Linked DNA regions of Drosophila melanogaster. The protein of the gene in region 4 interacts with the protein of the main gene of each other region in a pairwise test. Each region holds a gene or a part of one and is shown on either strand. Other genes may lie near its edges.

Region 1 (5,020 bases), on a different chromosome or scaffold from region 4:
TGGAAAGACCCAACAGTAAGCCCAAATAACCATTTTCCCAATTCGATCATCTTATATCTGCATTCTTCCAATGCTCTTTGCAGTTAACGAGTTTCCTGTTCTTAAGGCTGCTGCAATTAAGTATGTAATGGTGTTCCGCAGCATTTTGGGTCCCCAAGTCTTAGCAAGCTGCCTGCCCCAGCTAATTCGACATCTCCCCGCCGAAAGCTCTGTTGTTCATAGCTATGCTGCTTGTTCAGTGGAGAAGATCCTTTCTATGCGGGATGCTAGCAACGCGATCGTTTTTGGTCCTCAGATTTTAGCACCTTACACAACTGAACTAATTAGTGGGTTATTTGCGACCCTTTCACTCCCAGGTTCCGGTGAAAATGAGTACGTAATGAAAGGTGAGTTTGGGGGACTATCTCATACGTTTCTAATATGTTAACAAAACTCTAATTATTATTATTAGCCATTATGCGAAGTTTTTCGGTCTTGCAATCGGCCGCCATGCCCTTTATGGGCGTCGCCCTTCCACGGCTTACCGAGATTCTCACCCAAGTGGCCAAGAATCCATCGCGTCCGCAGTTCAACCACTATCTTTTTGAAACGCTGGCTCTGTGTATAAAGTAAGTGTTATGCATTTTGGTGGTAAAGAGCAATAACAAATTTTCTTTTTCCCTAGAATTGTTTGTCACGCCGATTCCTCGGCTGTGAGCTCCTTTGAGGAGGCATTGTTCCCAGTTTTCCAGGGCATCTTACAGCAGGACATTGTCGAATTTATGCCCTACGTCTTCCAGATGCTTTCTGTGCTGTTGGAAATGCGCGAGGGCACTGGTACCATACCGGAACCCTATTGGGCTTTGTTCCCCTGCTTGTTGTCACCAGCTCTGTGGGACAGGACGGGCAATGTCACACCATTAATTCGCCTGATTTCTGCTTTCATCAAGCAGGGATCTGCTCAGATTCAAGCCTTGGGTAAACTGGTAAGTTATATTATACATCACAAATTTTATTTTACAGAGTCCAATCTTATGCATTTTTCAACATATATTTCAGAGCGGTATCCTCGGAATATTCCAAAAGATGATTGCCTCCAAGGCTAATGACCATGAAGGGTTTTATCTTCTCCAGAATCTGCTTTCCTACTACCCTCCCGCTGAGATTCAAACTAATCTTCGTCAGATCTTTGGCCTGCTCTTCCAGCGATTGTCTCTCTCAAAGACTCCGAAGTATTTAAGCGGCATCATTATCTTCTTTAGCTTTTATGTGATTAAGTTCAGTGGCAGTCAGATGGCTCAATTGATAGATGAGATTCAGCCTAACCTATTTGGCATGCTGCTGGACCGCGTGTTTATCACCGAAATGGGCAAGATTCCCAAGGAACAGGATCGCAAAATGGTGGCCGTGGGTGTCACTAAGCTACTTACAGAAACTCCTGAGATATTGCAGCAACAGTACGCTACTTTCTGGCCACGACTGCTGCATTCTCTAATCGATCTTTTTGAACGACCACCAGAGAAATTGATGGGTCTCGAAATAGGAGAGACAGCTGGAGTTGCCGAAGATCCCGATGCGGGCTATCAAGTGGCATTTGCCCAACTGACTCATGCCCAGCCCAACCAGCAGGATCACCTGGCTGAGATTAAGGATGCTCGCCAGTTTCTAGCAACTTCGCTCTCTAAGTTTGCCCAGGCTAGGGCAGGAGAATTTTCCACTTTGTTGTCGCCCCTGGAGCCGGAGTACAAGCAAGTACTCCAGAAATATTGTGATCAGGCTGGAGTACGCATTGCCTAAAGGAATCGACCGACTTTAAGCTCATTCATCGCAATCAAACCTCGCCATACATTCGAAAATTTATGCATACACGCACTCGATCACTCATTGCATGCCCAGTTTATTGTCATTTAAAAATTGTATCTAATATATGTAAGTTTTGTAAACAATTAAAAATTATGTTTTCCGAAACTAGTGTGTTTCAACTGCGATAACTTCTGAATATTTCATACTTTTCTCTCTGATAAACAAATCATTTCTTGTCAAACACCCTTCACTCAATTTCAAAATTGTGAATTTAGAATTAACTAGATATTTCGAAATTTATCATATAAGCCATGTTCAAGCTAATAACGTATTTCAAGTCACGATCGAAGAAAATAGGCGTGAGATGCTATCAAAGTAAGTACTTACCATGGCTAGACCCTTCTCCACAGCCAAACAGAGCGAGATATGCACTAAAGAGTCTGTAAAATATGGTGAGACGAAGGTTATCAATTTCGTTTGCGTAATCCTTGATTTTGTGCGTGCTTACAAATGCTCAGGATTAGGGCGTTATGTCCTTCGCCTTCGTTGTGTCCGCTTATGAAGAAGAACCAATCCAGTGGATTGATGCGAATGCCATACCTAAAAAAATAATGAATTAGCTAAAACTTGTATTTCTACTCAAGATCATCGTAGTTACTTTAGGAGATTCTCCAAGCCCAAACGCAGACCTCCAATGCAGAGCAGTAGAAATCCCCAGTTCACCAGTCCAGAAAAATTGGTAAATCCAGAGCTCCAAGAAAACAGAGAATCTCTTGGCCGATGGATTCTAAAAGAGGCGAAACCCTGTATTTGGGCTAAAGTAGTTTAATTTCCCTACTTACGGTCTGCCAGGCTGAGCTCTTCTCTGCTTCTCCTCTTTATTGGAAATCTCCTCAGCACGAGTCACACTTTGTGTTCTCCTGTATCTAAGCTTCTTCTCGGATCCGTTGGTTCCATTACCATTTTCATCCTTATCCAAAACTTTACGATACTGTCGCAGATCTATGGGATTCCCGTGCTGATCGAATAGATTTTGTGTTGACTTGCGGTTTCGCAGACTGCTAAGATTATGCTCTGTGGCGGACGCCGATCTTCTCAAGCGCTTCATGATACCCACACCGCTGGATCCGCTATTCTTGGTCGGTTGTTCTGCTTTCCCGGGCTCCTTATCTTGGGGATCCTTATTGGTGGTCATGGTGATGGTCTCTATATTGAAAGAATTTCAATTTATAGTGATTACTTCTAGCTTATCGCAAATTCCGTTTGCAGTTGAAATGCAAAGATAAGATTTGTTTTGGTACCCCTTATAAAATGTTTGAGTGCTTTTATTTTGACACACAAATAACTCAGATGGGATCCCAGGAGGTTGTAAACAGTGGAGGCATTTTCAGAGTCGCTTATCTATTGAATAAATACGCAACTGAGATAAGAAATAATGAGGGTAATTAAGTAATAAGATGTCTTAAGCACATATCTTGTTTTTTATTTATGAAAATCGTTTTATTACTTGCTGAAGCTGGTCATATATTAGTTTATTAGTAAACAGAGCTATATGTATGTTAGAGAATAAATAGATCCATACAAAACCAGAAGCAAAATGCGGCTTGAGGTCAAAGTTCAGCTGACTGAGAGATTGCTGATTGAGTAATCAGATACCGATTTGCATAGACATTGAGCCCGCATTTGATAATGTGGTTAAGCCAACAGCTTCTCACTTAAATCGTTTAAAACCAGTTGTAAAGCTGCTACGATCGTACTTGACATTAGCTCCCACAGTCAAGATCGCATGTCAACCAAATGGGAGGGCATTATCGCCGTTAAGCCTCAAAGTTTCAAATCCACATCCACCTTTTGCAATGAAAATTGTATAGAACTCAAGAATCATCAACAAATAAACGGTTGATATGTGCAGATTCTATTTTTGAATACAAATGCGATTCAAGTTATAGATTTGCGTTCACGTAACTTGTTTTTGTTAAACAACGAGTAGCAAGATACGATTAGGAAATTGTTGTCTCAGCAATTATTTAATATTTATAAATCAGTGAAATACCTACATATATGTATGCAACTAAAATTAATGACGAAATTTGTGTGTGTTATCTGTTGAAAAGATATCTTAGGTAACAAAATCTACGTCATGTTACGAAGGCAACCATTTTTACCTAATTGTTTTATGCGAGTAGTTTGTTGATACCTTGTTTATTTGACATCAAAGTTCGATCACTATCGCTGCTTATCGCTAATGAACCGAAAAATCAATTTAAGTGATCGTGGATGCCAACCTTTTCAGTAATGGCTTTTGAAAGTTGTAATGTATACGATTCGAGTTCAGGATTGAAATAATTTATGGTTTTGAAAAAAGGACAGATGAAGAATTTTAGCAATTTTTGTCTCGCAGCGTGTATTTAGTATTCCACTGGCGGAAAACACAAAGTTTTACATAATTATTCAGTGCGTTGAACTGATCCAAGTGCAACAAAGACATATACTCCAATCTCATATGTTCGTTCATGGGGAGTTCAGTACGATTTCAGTCGAGTCACCGTGACGCAACGTCATTCAGAACTTCAAGTCGGAGCTCGTTATGGCCCATCAACCGAATGATGAGTAATTTACAGGCATCGAGGACCGAGGCAGTCCGAGATGTACATGAAGCATTCAAAGAGAGATTGCATTATATGCACCCATTAATATACATATTATAAATCCGTGCAAATAAGTTAATCAGGATAGAACTGTAGAGATATTTTGAAGTGCAAGGTAAAAGAAGAAAGCAAAGTCGACTCATTGTGGGTTCTTATTAAAAATGTATATTTCAACGTCTAGCTTCATTTGAGTTATATATTTATAAATGCGCTACAATTGTGACCTCTGCTGTTTGAATAGATATGTAAGAACACACATATACAACCCGCATGTGGAAACCGAACCTGAATTGAATGCTCTCTGCGGTTTGACGATTAGTTTGTTGAACTTTCGGTTTATATTTAAACAATCGAAGGTGGGGGCGGTACAGCGGTAACTGCAGCAGAATGATAATGGATCTTGGAAAAGTTTCGTCTATTTATTGAGCACTGTTGATCTTTATTTTGTGCTCTGCCCTAGGGCGAACTTAAAATGGTGAAAATATTCCAAACATTTTAGTTGTCCATGTAGGACGGATAATTACTGTCGGAACCGGTTGCGGCTTTATAAGGAAGAACTTTCCATAGCGATGATAAAAGTAGGTCAGTAA
Region 2 (4,841 bases), on a different chromosome or scaffold from region 4:
TGATCAGGTTATTCCAAAGGTGGGTCAATATCCCTGATATTTGATCTGCACTTGTTTAATCGAGCTTTTGCCTTAAACTGATTGAAGAATAGCTCCTAATCCGTTTGGTACTCTGACATTTAACCAAGCTGCCAGCTAATAATAATAATAACCATAGTAATATCATTATATATCGCGATGCAAATGCTGGCGGAACTGGGCTGCATAGCTGCACCTAAAAACGAACGACGAAGACAATCAGCTGCCTCACATCAGCGGCTCTCAAGAAGAACCCCGAGAACAGCTCCGTGAGTCACCTCGCATGGGGACCCACTTCTGGGCAGAAGACTCGGCCAGGTCGGATCCCCACCACCCGCCCCTCGCAGCGAGGAGGCATGTTAACTGACAACAGGTGTTTGCTGCTTGCCGTTTGTCTTGAAACCTTGCGGCCTGCTTGCCACATTTGCATTTGATATTTTGTATGCTTGTTTTCCTGCCACTGTTAACGCGTCCGCACTAAATACTTTCACACATTGCGCCCCCTTTCTGCTCTCCTTTGGCTTTTCCGGCCTGGGACTCGGGCCCCTTAAGGATGTGGACTGTTAAAGTCAGCACACGACCTTGATGTGTTAATTTCCCAGCCACTTCTGTCAGTCATCCGTCCGAGATACACTTTTACAATTGTGTTACAATAAAGGGAACTATCTGAAACTCTATACAATTGCACAATTGCAGATAATTTAAACATAGAAATTATCTTTATACCGTGTAAAAAATTGAAAGGATAGTTTAAGTATATGGATAATATTCTAAGTTTCCTTAATTTGTACTAAATCGTTGGGACTTCAGTGTAATATAATAATATCCAAATATCCAATTTTGCATTAGGTGCATACCTTTTTTTAGAGTGTTGGTCTAAGGAACAGCCTCAGGAAAGAGCTGTGATCTTAAAAGGTGCCAGCTAAATCAACCAGTGAAGAAGATTGCCCCAGCTAACTAGAATAAGTGCGCACTCTGCGATTTGTAGAACATGGCAAACTTACAAGGCACTCGCCATAAGTGCGAGTATATAGGTTCTGCCAATATTTGCGACACATGCAAAAGCAATCCAAGTTAGATTCTTCATTTGCCTGCAAGCGAGTCAGGGCAAAATGCACTTTAAAAAATTATCAGTTTTTTAGATACAAATCTTCTGAATTTCCAAAAATGAATGATCACTTTATTTCTAATTGAAAAGTCACTTCTTTGTAAATATAGTTAGATGATAGGCATTTCTCATTGATCAATAGAATATTATATAAATTATTATTTAAGCTGCAGCATCAAGCAAACTAAAATGTTCACAAATTTCCAGCTTGAATATTCTAAGAATTATTTTATCAAAATAATTATTTTTGATCCTTGATGGATTAGGCAGCACCACTTTCCATTTAGTTCCTTCGCTATTGAGCGCAATAATTTCTTTCAGTGCCGCAGTTAATGCCATTCCCATGGATTTCGCCTGCGTTTTCGAATTTTTGTAACAAATATTCTGGCAAATAAAGCTATACACGCTATTTGCATTATAAAGCAAACATGTGCGGCGACTATATCTGTGCAGGCCATCTCGCTCGCACTTGACTTACATTGATTCTGTTATATAGTCGTAAAGTTTATTTGCCTTGCCCTTGCATGGTTGTTGTTGTTGATCTAGCCATGTTTTATGGCCACACTAAAAAGTGCACTGGTCAACAAAGATCGGCCAGAGAAAACTTTCTCACAAAACCGTAGCTGGGGGCTATAGCTCCTACTGGGCTGTCGTATAAGTGTCATATAGGGGAGTGTGTATATGGTTTGTATAATTAAATCATACAAACCCCGCCGACAGTCGTAGACAGTTCGTCAGTTAGTCGGATTGTCAAGCGTTATCTGGCGTCGCCATCTTCATCTTGATTTTTTTTGTTTTATGAATTCTATTCGTTAATGAAATTCACATGTTCCCCATCTACAACTCCGAAGCCCCATCTCTATCCCCATTTTTATGTCCGCATGATGGATGTGTCTCAAAAAAGCCCGTTCGTTCCGTTTCTTCTATATTTTTTTTTGAGGGCGCCATTGAACCTTTGAACTTACCTGCTTTTACTGACCGATCAGCCTATCAAGTTAATCCAATTTATTTGCTTAGTGTTTCTATTTCGTTGCGCACTTAAGGTCTGCGTCTCCTAACATTGTGAACTTTCCGTTTAAGGTTTTGTGTATTTTCGTGTATTTGCTTGCTATTATTTTTTGTTCACCTTGCGCCAATAAAACGTCACTTGAGCGTATAGAGTTGTTGCTGTTTTTGCTCAAATTGCACTTGACTTTTAGAACTTTAGGCGAGCGTGAAGCATGTTTAATATATATCTTTTGGGTTGTTTGAGTATGTGTGTTTTTGCATATAGCAGGGTGTACATATATCACAAGGAGGCAATATTTTGTATAATTTTTATTGTAATACAAAGTTTTAAAGTTTTGCAGTATGGTTAAATTTTAATTTAGCTAGAGATATTTCCGTGGGACTTTATTTGGTGCTGTTTTTACGCCTTCTGTGTTTTGAATGCGAGTTTTTATGGAGTGACCACACCTTTGTGTGAGGGCACTCCTGGCTGCGCACGCGCACTTGCCGTAAATTTCTTTATTTCCGCTTTCGTTTGCCGCTTTTGAGTTTTTTTGCAGTGACGTGTTACAGACTGAACTCTACTATTTCAGTTGGCACTACATATACATATTCGTAGTATTGTTACAATTCATTTTATTTAACTGAGTAATTTTTTGATCTTAATTTGCATGTGTTGATTTTTAGCGGCGGCCAAAACAACGTAACGCCTGGGACGTAAGACGAAGACGACGCAACGACGACGGCGACGTGCGATCGAGCGTGCGAGCAAGAAGCGCGAGCTATCACTAAAGACTGATGTTAAGCAGTTCTGCAAAGTGCTCACACCGCTGCGACTCGGCGACTCAGATGCTTTGCAATATCATCCGACGAACGCTCGGTAGCACACTGAGCTGAGACTTCGGCTACCAGAGAAGTAGCAACAACAATATCTCTGGCCGGGGAGATGATACTACTATAAACAAAAACTACAAACTGGTCGAAGAAGCAGTAACAGAAACCGAAACAAAAACAAAAGACTGCAAAAGCGACAAACTCGAGCCCAGCTGGGGTGCGATTGTGTGTGTGAGGAAGAAGACGATTCCGATTCTCTCTAACGGTGATACACCCGAACTCTCAACCCCCAACCGAAAGACAACCAGGGAGAGAGAGAGCGAGAGTGAGACTTAAAAGAGCGACTTTGACTCAAATTGCCTGTCTGTGTGAGCCGCTGTTTGAGTGATGTTAACTCAAATCCGAGTCGATTCGGCTATTGAGTTGTATTCACAGATCAAGCTGAAACTGAGTAAATGCATATGAACATATATTAAAAACGTATAATTACTAACATAAATACGAACTATAACTATAGAAAAGGCACCAACAAATTTAGAAAAAAATGCATGTCGTGTTTGCAATATATATATAAATTGCACAGTTTATTTCTCGGTTAAGATATAATAATAAATTCCTAGTAACTGCGAACAAATATAAGTCGTTTAAGATGTAATCTAAGTCTATTTAGCGTGTTGTTTAATTTGACCAATCTTAAGTATTTCCTTTTTCTTTTTTCTACTTTATTTATAATCAATTTTATTCGTTAGATAAATATAATATAATTTAATAAATTTAACGATTGTTAAGGAACATAGTTTTGTTGATTTAGTGTCCAATGTTATATAACTGGGGAATATTTATGGCAAGCTGATCAAATGTGGTATATAGTAAATTAACAATATAACATACTTGATTAGTTCAAAAAAATAAGATACAATACAATATACAATATTTGCCTCCAAATACATCATTATTTTTCCAGTTGCTCACTTTGAATATTGCACTCGATTGTTTTTCTCAATCGCTCACCATTTTGTGCGGCTTTTGAGTGCTTCACTCACAGGGCACACACTCTCGTGAATATATCTACTCGAAGAATTCGTTACCACATTTGATTGGCTCGATTAACACAATCGGAGCACCGTTATATCCAGTATACTCACACAGACAACCGGTAAAGAGAGCGGCGTGCTCATGAGAGCGGAATCCACTAACACCAGCGCAAAACGGGATCGTGCTGCAGTCGTCGTCGGGTGTTTTAGATAAACGAGCCGATCCCGTTTGCCGTGGGCGAAAACGAGACCGGACTATAAGGCCATCTCCCGTGCATCGGGCGAGTTATATACCCGGCATATATGTTCTCGTTTCGCTGACCAATGCAGAGCAGCTGGCTGAGAGCTACCCATGCAAACGAGAGCGATCAATGAGAGCGATCACTCACACAGACGCATCCATCGAAATCGTATTAGCGGCTTGCCAGTGGGCGTGGTCTATCGATCGGGGAGTTTTAACCCACCACCCACCTCCCCTGAACTCAACAAAAGTCCATCGAACATTGCCCACTTCCAGCGATCTCGACTGAAAGTGCGAATGAGAGGGACTAAGTGTCTCCGAAAGAGAGGGGAGTACGTAAGACTCGAGTGATGGAGTTTTTCTAACGGTCTGCATCTAATTCCTCTTTTTTTTTGCATCTTCCACTAGTTTTTTCGCCCGTTTGGCAGTTGTCAAGCTGTCATAGTTTCGATCATTAAATGCGATATCTGTTGATAGCCATAAGACATTTTACGATATTACTAACATTGTTAGCTGGCGCCCCCTAGTGCGAAAGAGAGACAAACTCGCCGATCCGCAAGTTTCCAGATGCCGTCCGCGGGATTAATGTATCATAAATAGCTTAGTTTCTGGAATTTAT
Region 3 (4,863 bases), on a different chromosome or scaffold from region 4:
TCTTTGTGCTTCATCCGGAGGGGAGTATGTGTGAAGAGTAGGCTGATCAAACAGGCTTTGGGAAAACGGCAACTAAGTGGCAAATGCGACGCAGTTTCAACTCGAATCTAAATATGTAAGTATACACATACGTATGTACATATGTAGGTGTTGCCGCATACATATTATCAATTAGCAGTTCAGAACAGTTCACTGGCTAAGCAGATCGCTGATAACGTGGTCGAGAATCGGCGCAAACACGCGCCGCCCTCGGGAGCCATGGGAAATAGTTAAGTTGTTTGGGACTCCGCCGGGCCTTCTGGGCTCCGATCAATGGGTTAGTCGGACGTGGCCAGATAAGCGGGCTGCGGACCTTGAAGAGCACCAAATGCAAAGTGAACCGAGACTAATAACCGGGCGAGGTCAACCCATTGTAGCCAACCATCCAACTGACCTACCTTAAATGCTTAGTTCACTCGACTTCGAAAGGGACGTGACTCCTGGGGCTTCACTCCAACTCCAGTTGCTGCGCTTGCTCTGTTTTTTTTTAGTGCACTCAAACGAAAAAAACTCGATCACCTGCAGTCGCGAGGAGAGAACTGTGAACCGTTTTGCACAATGTCTGCGATCGCACTGAAAACGAAACAAGGCACGGCGTCGGCATCGAGTGTTTTTAGTTTTAATCAATTTTAAATGCGAAGGCGTCGTGTTTTGCCGCTGTGTGAGTGGCTACCACGCAGCACACACACATGGGAAAGCCGCTCGTGCACTGGAAGAAATGGCACGGATCTGAAATGGATTTAGGTACAAGTTTCCTATTCATTCAGTTAATATATCCAGAAAACATAAATACTAAATGCTACTGCTTAACTTTGGGTACATTAAATTCAATTCCTTGTAATGAAATAACTAGGTACATACGCATTGTTTGGAATGTGCTTGTTTCTCCAAGTGTACGTCATATGTGCGGTGTAGCAATGAGTAGTATTTCCAAGAGTTTCTTGGGGTGCTGCCATAGTCTGGAAAGCGTCTGGTTTCTACATCTGTGGTACACTGGTACCAAACATTTGTTTGTTTTGATCGCCGTTTCTTTTAGTTGCTTTCATACATATGTTTTGGACTGTTTTGGCTAAATCTGTGCGGTGGATACACTTACCTTCTACCTGGTGTTCATCGCAGATCAGCCTTGTCCTCGCCGCACTTCCGCCCTCGCTCTTTGTCACTCTTCTCGGTCTTGCCTAGTCTTCCTTTCCACTTTTGCCTTTTTATTGTGCTCCGATGCATGTTGATTGTCGTGGACTTTGCACCCTCAGTTTTCCGCTGTTGTAATGCTCGTTTTACGCATTTACAGGAATATAGTCGACTAGGAAAGCACTCTTTACCCGTTTAATCTGGATTTGTCAGCCGATAATTCAGTGGAATTAATTCTGTTGAATTCATAAATAAATAGATAAATTGTATGATTCATTAACCTATTTATTAATTGGTTGATAGCTTTGGGATAGTGATTAAACTCAAGCAATTCACCGATGCAATCTATTGTCTTGAAATGATAAGAATTGAAAGAATGTTGCTATGAATTTAAAAATCTTTAATGAGTGGCTGCCACTTTAATCTAATTCCACGTAATCTTAACTTTCTGAAGGTGCTGGAAACCCATGACACTTTAATTTTCAGAACATTCAACCTAACTATAAATTCAAATCGAGTGGCAGCTCCGATAACGGTCACAGCTGCTAAGACCAGGGCGGCACACTGTGTGCTGTCGCCCGATAACTTCTTTGTTTTGAACTCACGGGAAAGCAACCCTGCGTGTGCTCTCGCCAATTGGAACTGCGAATATACTGCCTGTGTATATATGTAAATGTTTATAATTAGCAATTTTTCTACGAAACAAACGATTAAATAATGCAGTTTTCTGCCTACTAAATGCCAAATACAACACACAGACTTCGAGCCACGAACGGTGATGTGATCAGAGTACTAGAGTAATCCAACGAAAAACGCGAGTCCATTTTAAAGCGAAGTATAAAGTGCCAAACAAAGGGAGCAGTCGAACCCAGTCCAAATCCAATCATTATACTCGGTCCGTGACCTGCCGACGAGCCAGCGAGTACGGCAATAAGCATGGGCAACGCCAGCTCCTCCGTGCACATGCAACGCGAGCGCCACAAGTCGACCGACTTGTCCACGCCGAGCTCTCCCGCACATTTCCGCGATTCGATTGGTGGAGGAGGAGCGGGACAGGGCGGGAGTGCTGGCGCAGCAGCTCTGGGCGCTGCAGCGGGGGCGGTGGGAGCTGCGGGGGGTGGAGGAGGAGGCGGCGGAGGCCAAGCTTTCTCGTTCGACAAAAAACATACGGCAGTCTTGAACGAGGGCTCGTCGCAAGAAGACGACGACCCGTACTACACGGGAACTGGAACTGGATCCACTAGACGAGGCACCGCACACGACGACGCGACATCAGCTGTTACCCGAGACCACTCCAGCATGGACAACAACGAGGAGGAGGAGGAGGCAGCGGTAGGAGCGGAGCCAGCGACTGGATCTCAGTTAACCGGCGATGAGGACGACATCCGGAAGACGGCACTGCCCACAGTTCTGCGGTGGGACGGCGGCGGCAAGAACGTCACCATCTCGGGCACATTCTCCGATTGGAAGCCCATGGCCATGGTGCGCAGCCATCAGAACTTCGTGACCATCATAGATCTGCCGGAGGGCGACCATCAGTACAAGTTCTGCGTGGACGGCGAGTGGAAGCACGATCCCAAGCTGGTCAGTTGGGCGGAAAATCAATATATGCAGCAGGCTATTCAGTGTTTTTGATTCGGGCGCCCGAATGACGCAGTTACCGATTTTCGCCCCGGGTTGTGTAATCGCCGTAAACAAAACGAAGTCTCCCAGTAATCGTAGTGGATTTCAATTGGGTTCAGAGATGCTCATCCGGCTTTAGCTTTTTTTTTGTTTTTTTTTTGAGGAACCCCGTTCAAATGCTTCGCAAATAACAAATGCAATTAAAGTTACAAGTTTAAGGGAGCAAACTGCGATAAAACCCATTTGTAGATTACTACTAAATCCGGTTGGATGTCGCTAGTTTTGTGGACACAGTTTATCTAAGTGACCATTGAACATTGCTATCAGGCGAACAATTTGAACTATAGAAAAGATTTAAGGGAATAGTAACGTTTTCTTAGATAAAATATTTTTCTGGATAACAAAGTTCAGGACTGTGATAGAATATATGACCTACTTCGCAATGTTAAAATAGTTGCAGAATTGCATGAAGACGAAAAGCAATCAGAAATGAATTACTAAATGCACAGACTTTAAATCTTTATTAAGAATAGTTCACGAAGCTCACGTATTTAAACCATAATGGTTTTAATGACTAATAAATAATGTAGTTTATCTGACATTTAAATTAGTAAGCAAAACGAAAGCAAACCATTGAACAAATTTTTGTATTATATATATATGTAGCAAGCCAAATTGTTGTATATAATTCAAAATTGCTCGAAACAAGTAGCAACAGTACGTTATTAATTATAGAAAGCAGTCATTGCCCAGCCACATTTTCATGAAGTATTGCCCAATTTTTGTTTTATCGCAAACTCAGCTATCAAGTTTCATGAGTTTTATTGAACTCAACCCGAGGCCTGCAGATATTGTCCCAATTGCCCAAACTATTGTTACAGACAATTTGATTATAGCTTATCGGTTTGCTATTTTAGAAAAGCGTGGAGAACGCCGAGGGACAGAGAAATAACTTAGTGTCCGTGCGAGAATCCGATTTCGAGGTGTTCCAGGCCCTAGCCAAAGACAGCGAGAACGTGACCAACTATGCGGAGAAGGAGTACTCGCAGGAGGTGCCGCAGGTGAAGCCCTGGGAGAAGGTATCTGGCCCGCCCGTTCTGCCGCCCCATCTGCTCCAGGTCATCCTCAACAAGGATACACCGCTATCGGTGGGTATTGTCGCTGTCTCGAGAGCTACCGACCGTAACCTTACCCTATTCTGTTTCAGTGTGAACCCACTCTGCTGCCGGAACCCAACCACGTGATGCTTAACCACTTGTACGCCCTGTCTATCAAGGATGGCGTCATGGTCCTGAGTGCCACGCACAGGTATCGCAAGAAGTACGTCACCACGCTGCTGTACAAGCCCATTTAGGCAACTCGCAATTGGTATTTTAGCTGTAGGAACATGGTTTTTATGAGGGATACCACGTCCCGCTTGTCAAATTTACCTTATTATGAGTAAAAGTGTTTTAGTTTTCTCTCTATTAAGCGTTGTATTTTTATTAGTTATAAATATACGGAACTTGTAAAAATATAAGATTATTGCATTGTGTCATAATTTGTAATTTGTATTTGAATTTACTACGAATCGTACAGCTTATTTGCAATTTCAACCTGATATGTCACTAAAGTCACGATCTAAGAGTAATTTAAGCAACTATGCATATTGACTGACTGATAATTTGGTTCCCTGTTCGCTGTATATAAGTATAACAACACTTTGGATTTTGATCAACGTTTCATATCACATGTGTACAAGAGTCTTCGCCGACGGCAATCTATCGGAATACAAACATTCTCGTATATCTACGTGTTCAACTGGACAAAAACTGAACTAGACTAGCGGACCGACCGACCGACCGACCGACCGACCAGCTTCACATCAGCTTGACCTTGTGGTCCAACTGATCGGCGTCGATCTTCTTGGCGAACAGCACCGGTGACGAGGAGGCCAGCGCCACCGTCTGCTTGGCCAAGAATCGCTCGTGCATCTTGTTGGCCGTGTGCTGGAACTCGCCATCCTCGTCGAACAGCGCCTTGGTGAAGTACTCCGTGAAGAGGCGGCCCATGTACTGGTCTTTGGTGGAC
Region 4 (5,469 bases):
ATCAAAGCGCAGTGATTGCTCTACCCAGTCGCGTCCTTCCTTGAATTCTGTGTAGATGTTATTGAGAAAAATAAGGAAAGTATTTCCATAAACTAATGATTTTGTGCACATTAGGATATAGGCAACTTACCATCATCCAGTCCCATTATGTACATGGTATCCAATGAGTCAACAATGGTTAGTCCCAGACCGAACCACTCGTGGGAGTACTGGGAGATGGGCTTCAGGTTGTCGTGGCCCCAGGCATACTTCTTGTAGCCAGCCCAGGAGTGCTTGAAGGCGGCTACAACAGCCGACTGTCTTTCGTTGGTGGCGCCATGGAAGTGCTGGCCCTTGGCCAGAATGGGCTTGATCTTTTTGAGATGCTCTTTGAAGCTAACGCCGCCCAGAGTGAGTGGGTTCTTGATGGCTTGCTCAAGCTGCTCGCCCTCGCTAAGCGGCTCTGCTGGATCCTGGGCGACGGGCTCCTCTACATTGTTTAGGATGTCGATTCCACCGATGTCCTGCTCCTTGTTACTATCGGGGGGAGGCAAGGCCACGGCCATGGCCGAGGCCTGGGGAAGTCCTTCAGCAGCCACCGTCTCCGGCAGACGGGCCACGTTCTCCGCTGAGTTCGCTTCTCCATAGGCAACTAGCTCATTAAACTGAAATTGATTGATATTGAGATATCATTAATAGATTTTACTGGAAGTGTGCTGCGTGGGCAATAAATCAAACACCAATAGTCAATCGTATTGATACGCATGCTATCTTAATAGGCAAACAACTCCAGCCACTTAGGCACTTATCAATTAAGTGGGGGGCCTACTTACCTTATCACTAACCGCCTCCACCCGGGGTGCTCTCTTATCGGCCGGAACAGGTACCGCAGCAGTGTCTTTGGGCACATCCTTATCCACCCCCGGATGATGGTGCGGATTGGGCAGGGGCATTTGATATGCTGCCACCTCGGCCTTGGTGTCCACATCCTTTAAGCTGGCAGCCAGCAGCTGATCGCCACTTAGGCAGAGCAACACTGTCACGCAGAATCCGGTGATGCCCAGAATAATGAGATTGCGCTGACAACGCGGTAGCTGATTCCAAGCCTGAACCGTGAGACAAAAGATCGTACTTATAAGTTCTGGGTTTCTTGAGGATGTCCCAGGACCCCAGCAACTGGACTTCTGCCAGGTTGCTACCTACCCGACGCAGGCTCTTCCTGCCCCGCTCGTCCGTCGTCGCCGCTGATCCCGGCGGGAGTGTGAGCGTTATGTGACCGCCGTCCTTCATAGTGTTTCACTAAATGCCGCCGCCGGAATTCAGAGTGTGGGAAAGTTGGATGGGAAATTCCACAGCATTCGCCTCGAATAAAAATCGATTGCTGTGCGCCGCTGGCCGCGGAGGAATCGGAGCTAACTAACCAAGGTTGGTCCAACTACTACCTCTTTTATGCCTTAATCATCTCTATACGTGCCAGTGCATTAATTTATATATGCTAGTTCTGGCCCACACTATGCAAAATTACAAATAAGAAATTCTAAAATTATTTCACGAGAGCTGCATTTTTGAGCTGCAATGCTGCCAACTTGTTCTTCAACAGTCCGGCCAAAACTAAAGATGGGGCTAGCAATCATTTACTTTTGAAATACCTCTTAAATAAAAAAAAAGCAAATTAAATTATATTTTAGATATTATCACTACTTTATAAAAGAATTTTTCTAAAGAATATATATTAATACGAAGTGGCTAATTTTTTCGAAAATCCAGCTAACACAGTATGAATTTAGCCAAATCTAGAGTGGCCAACACTAGTCCCACTTAACAGTGATTTATTTGGCAGCCCTGGTAAGCTCCAAGTGTGCCCACAATACGGCATTAAAGTGGTCACATCTGGTCACATCCCATTTTCACATCAAAATTTCGACGGAAGTCGGTGCGTAAACCCATAGCCCATTTTTAGTTAGATAATAGCACTTAAAACCCAAAAAATAACACCTACAGCCGGCAACGATAGCGATAGACCCATAGGAAAGCGAACCGCAAACCGACGATGCTCCGAACCCGACTCATCCAGGCGGCCAGCTCCGCCCAGCGAGCGTTCTCCACCAGCCAGAAGGCCCTGGCGGCCAAGCAGATGACCGTGCGAGATGCCCTCAACAGCGCATTGGACGATGAGCTGGCCCGCGACGACCGCGTCTTCATCCTGGGCGAGGAGGTGGCCCAGTACGACGGTGCTTACAAGGTGAGATCTGCGACTTTTCCTGCCCCTGCGCGATTACGTAAACAGCAAGCAGGCGGTTGCGACGACGACAGCTGATGCAGGTGGCCGGGATGGGGGAAGTTGGTGGTCAGCGGGGTGATATATGCGTGCTATATGTAACTACTGATAGTGATTCCGAACAGGTCGACGCGAATCCGAATGCGTGATCGGAGTGGGCAAGGTCACGCAGAATATGTGTGACCGACTGTCTGCTGATTATATAGATTGGCCCATAAAACAACGATTTGTTTACCCATTTGAGGTGGATTGATAACCGGCGTTAGCAATTCTATCCTATTAGATTCATTTAAACTATGATTGTGGCTACTGGTGTAACAACTAGATAGGACACGCAAAGTACAATACAATTACCTGTTAGAATAATGGTATTTCCTGAAGAAATCTTAGTTAATGAGTTATCAGCTTGGAAAGTTTTACAAACAGATAAAAGGTTCCCATCCTGAATAAGCCCTACATATTTTTCTGGTATCCTAACATTCTATTAATCATTTAATGCCCTTTTTAGGTTTCCCGTGGACTGTGGAAGAAGTACGGCGACAAGCGCGTCATCGACACGCCAATCACAGAGATGGGCTTTGCCGGCATCGCTGTTGGCGCTGCCATGGCCGGTCTGCGTCCCGTGTGCGAGTTCATGACCTGGAACTTCTCCATGCAGGCCATCGATCACGTGAGTTGCCTCATCCTTGTCCTAAGAACCACTCCCCGCACTCCAGCAGTAGGCTAACTACTCATATTATCTCATTGCCAACAAAACGTAAACCAAAAGAAAGAACACGACAATCCAATACAAATGCCTCACAACTCCAACAGCTAGCAAATAGACCAATTCAAGTGCAATATGCAGCGGCGCTTAATGGGATAATATGGGTGGATTAGCTCCTGCCCCAAGTCATAGATCGGACCTCACTAATCCCCACCCATATTATCCGATTATGTGCAGGCAAAGATACTCGATTGCGCCAAGCCGCCAGTCGGTGATCGCCCTCTGCCAATAAGCCTCATAATTGAAAGTCCACGCTCAACTTGGCTGAATGAGATCAACGACATCCTGCACAGAGATCGAGTCGGCGAGGTGATTGCGCCGCCGCTGGACAAGAGCAAGTCGGACAAGATGGAGGCGGCCCGCCTCATCGTCATTCGGCGGCGCAAGATGAAGAAGCACAAGCTAAAGAAGCTGCGTCGCAAGATGAAGTTCGAGTGGGCCAAGGTGCGCCAGCGCCGCGAGATGCGCAAAGAGAAGGCCTTCCAAGCAAAGCTGATATCCCAGATCAAGCAGGCGGAGGCATTCAGTGCGGAGCAGCACGTGGCGGAGATCCTGCGGCAGGCCAACGAGACGCCGCTGCCGCGTTTCTGGAAGGGACGCCGCCTGCCGGCATTTATCATTAAGCAGAAACTAGGCATTAAGTAAAGATCAAGACGGAACAGAAAGGAGTGCATCAAATAAAGCGTATTAACTTGAATTGGCGAATTTGCAGTTTGATGGAACAGGCATCCACACTGAGCATTATTTTCATTCATTTTTCACTTTATTATTTCTAAGTCATATTACACATTCATAATAATATGGATTGCTAAAATATATCCCTTTAAAATTTCAAATCTTAGATCATCAACTCGGCGGCCAAGACCTTCTACATGTCTGCCGGTGCCGTCAATGTGCCCATTGTGTTCCGTGGTCCCAATGGAGCCGCTTCCGGTGTTGCCGCCCAGCACTCTCAGTGCTTCGCCGCCTGGTACGCCCACTGCCCCGGCCTGAAGGTCCTTTCGCCATACGATGCCGAGGATGCCCGCGGACTGTTGAAGTCCGCAATCCGTGATCCCGATCCAGTGGTCTTCCTGGAGAATGAGCTGGTCTATGGCACGGCATTCCCTGTGGCCGATAACGTGGCCGACAAGGACTTCTTGGTGCCCATCGGCAAGGCCAAGGTAATGCGGCCGGGCAAGGACATTACCCTGGTGGCGCATTCCAAGGCGGTGGAGACATCGCTTCTGGCAGCTGCCGAGCTGGCCAAGAAGGGTACGGCACTGTTTTACTTTGAATGACGCGAAAAGTAGCTAACCTTCTCTTATATGTTTAGGTATTGAGGCTGAGGTCATTAACCTGCGCTCCATTCGTCCTCTGGACACGGCGACCATCTTCGCCTCTGTACGAAAGACCCACCATCTGGTGACCGTGGAGAACGGCTGGCCCCAACACGGTGAGTGGGAAATTCAGCTAATTGAAAGCCTAGCGATATTTATAAATTTTTACCCTCTTAGGCGTTGGAGCTGAGATCTGCGCCCGCATAATGGAGGACCAGACCTTCTTCGAGCTGGACGCCCCCGTATGGCGCTGCGCCGGCGTGGATGTGCCCATGCCCTATGCCAAGACGCTGGAGGCCCACGCCCTGCCCCGCGTTCAGGATCTCGTGGAGGCGACTCTTAAGGTCTTGGGTGGCAAAGTGGGCAAGGCCGCTGCGGCCAACAAGTAGGAACTCAGGACTAGCCAGCCTCCCGATCGGAACCCCCAGCTAACTAAATTTATAGTCCAAGTCGAAACGCTGCCTCTGGTCTAACCGAGCTGCCCCCATAATAGTGCACCGAACTGGAAATTGAATGTTCTGAAAATAAAGCACTACCGCTTTCGGGTTTTGATTAGTTTTCGGACGTTCTAGTTTAATTATTTGGTTATAGAAATCTCTTGTGAAAAATAAACGAAAACATAAATACATTTTGAGTGCTTATATTTTGGTATAGTTAATGATATAATATCAGAAGATAAAAAATATATAATTCTTATCGTTAATGATTGAAGTTTAAAAAGTGCGCGCACCGATGAAAACGTTTTCCTATTGAACGCTGTCCAACACTGACGACATCTATTTTTTCGATATCAGCCTATCGTTTAGCAATAGGTGTCCTCATATCGATAGCGATAATAGCAAAGTTAACAATAACAAAAGATATAACATAACAAATAATTGCAATGCTTTGGCTGTAATGGCAAACAGCTCCAGCTCCGACGAAAGCTGCAAGGCCCCCGACAACTTTCGCATCTCGAGCGCCTCCACAAACGGCGAGGACGAGGAATCAGATGTCGCAGGATACACAACAAAGCGCAGGCCAACGGCAGCGACGAAGGAACTGTTGAAGGATGCGAACGCCAAGGATAGGAACGCCACCACGGGAATGGGTGCCCACATGCGGTGCCCACTGTGCCACAGCTGCAG

Evidence for each region.
Region 1: the proteins of Pdhb (region 4) and CG13280 interact in a two-hybrid assay, tested with the Drosophila melanogaster proteins (one large-scale study listed by BioGRID).
Region 2: the proteins of Pdhb (region 4) and knrl interact in a two-hybrid assay, tested with the Drosophila melanogaster proteins (one large-scale study listed by BioGRID).
Region 3: the proteins of Pdhb (region 4) and alc interact in a two-hybrid assay, tested with the Drosophila melanogaster proteins (one large-scale study listed by BioGRID).

What each region holds. Positions count from the first base shown.
Region 1 is NT_033779.5:16,818,080-16,823,099, reverse strand, and holds the start of CG13280 (uncharacterized protein), read left to right. Parts: upstream 1-2,006; 5' UTR 2,007-2,093; coding exon 2,094-2,157; intron 2,158-2,169; coding exon of another isoform or gene 2,170-2,222; intron 2,223-2,290; coding exon of another isoform or gene 2,291-2,382; intron 2,383-2,440; coding exon of another isoform or gene 2,441-2,569; intron 2,570-2,624; coding exon of another isoform or gene 2,625-2,977; exon of another isoform or gene 2,978-2,988; intron 2,989-5,020. Other genes in the region: Cse1 (chromosome segregation 1), read left to right, coding at 1-15, 84-386, 452-608, 665-965, 1,039-1,776; mdy (midway), read right to left, coding at 2,170-2,222, 2,291-2,382, 2,441-2,569, 2,625-2,977.
Region 2 is NT_037436.4:20,617,651-20,622,491, forward strand, and holds the start of knrl (knirps-like), read right to left. Parts: upstream 3,010-4,841; 5' UTR 2,092-3,009; intron 1-2,091.
Region 3 is NT_033778.4:9,134,843-9,139,705, reverse strand, and holds alc (alicorn), read left to right. Parts: upstream 1-1,772; 5' UTR 1,773-2,106; coding exon 2,107-2,754; intron 2,755-3,710; coding exon 3,711-3,941; intron 3,942-4,000; coding exon 4,001-4,147; 3' UTR 4,148-4,331; downstream 4,332-4,863. Other genes in the region: Hydr1 (alpha/beta hydrolase 1), read right to left, coding at 4,653-4,863.
Region 4 is NT_033777.3:29,111,229-29,116,697, forward strand, and holds Pdhb (pyruvate dehydrogenase E1 beta subunit), read left to right. Parts: upstream 1-1,842; 5' UTR 1,843-1,912; exon of another isoform or gene 1,913-1,980; 5' UTR 1,981-2,029; coding exon 2,030-2,221; intron 2,222-2,765; coding exon 2,766-2,927; intron 2,928-3,200; coding exon of another isoform or gene 3,201-3,668; exon of another isoform or gene 3,669-3,718; intron 3,719-3,865; coding exon 3,866-4,277; intron 4,278-4,338; coding exon 4,339-4,458; intron 4,459-4,519; coding exon 4,520-4,731; 3' UTR 4,732-4,969; downstream 4,970-5,469. Other genes in the region: alpha-Man-Ib (alpha-Mannosidase class I b), read right to left, coding at 1-47, 131-644, 813-1,085, 1,183-1,269; Atg14 (Autophagy-related 14), read left to right, coding at 5,240-5,469. UniProt on the Drosophila melanogaster protein: The pyruvate dehydrogenase complex catalyzes the overall conversion of pyruvate to acetyl-CoA and CO(2). Might play a role in regulating synapse structure formation at neuromuscular junctions. Might play a role in maintenance of mitochondrial morphology.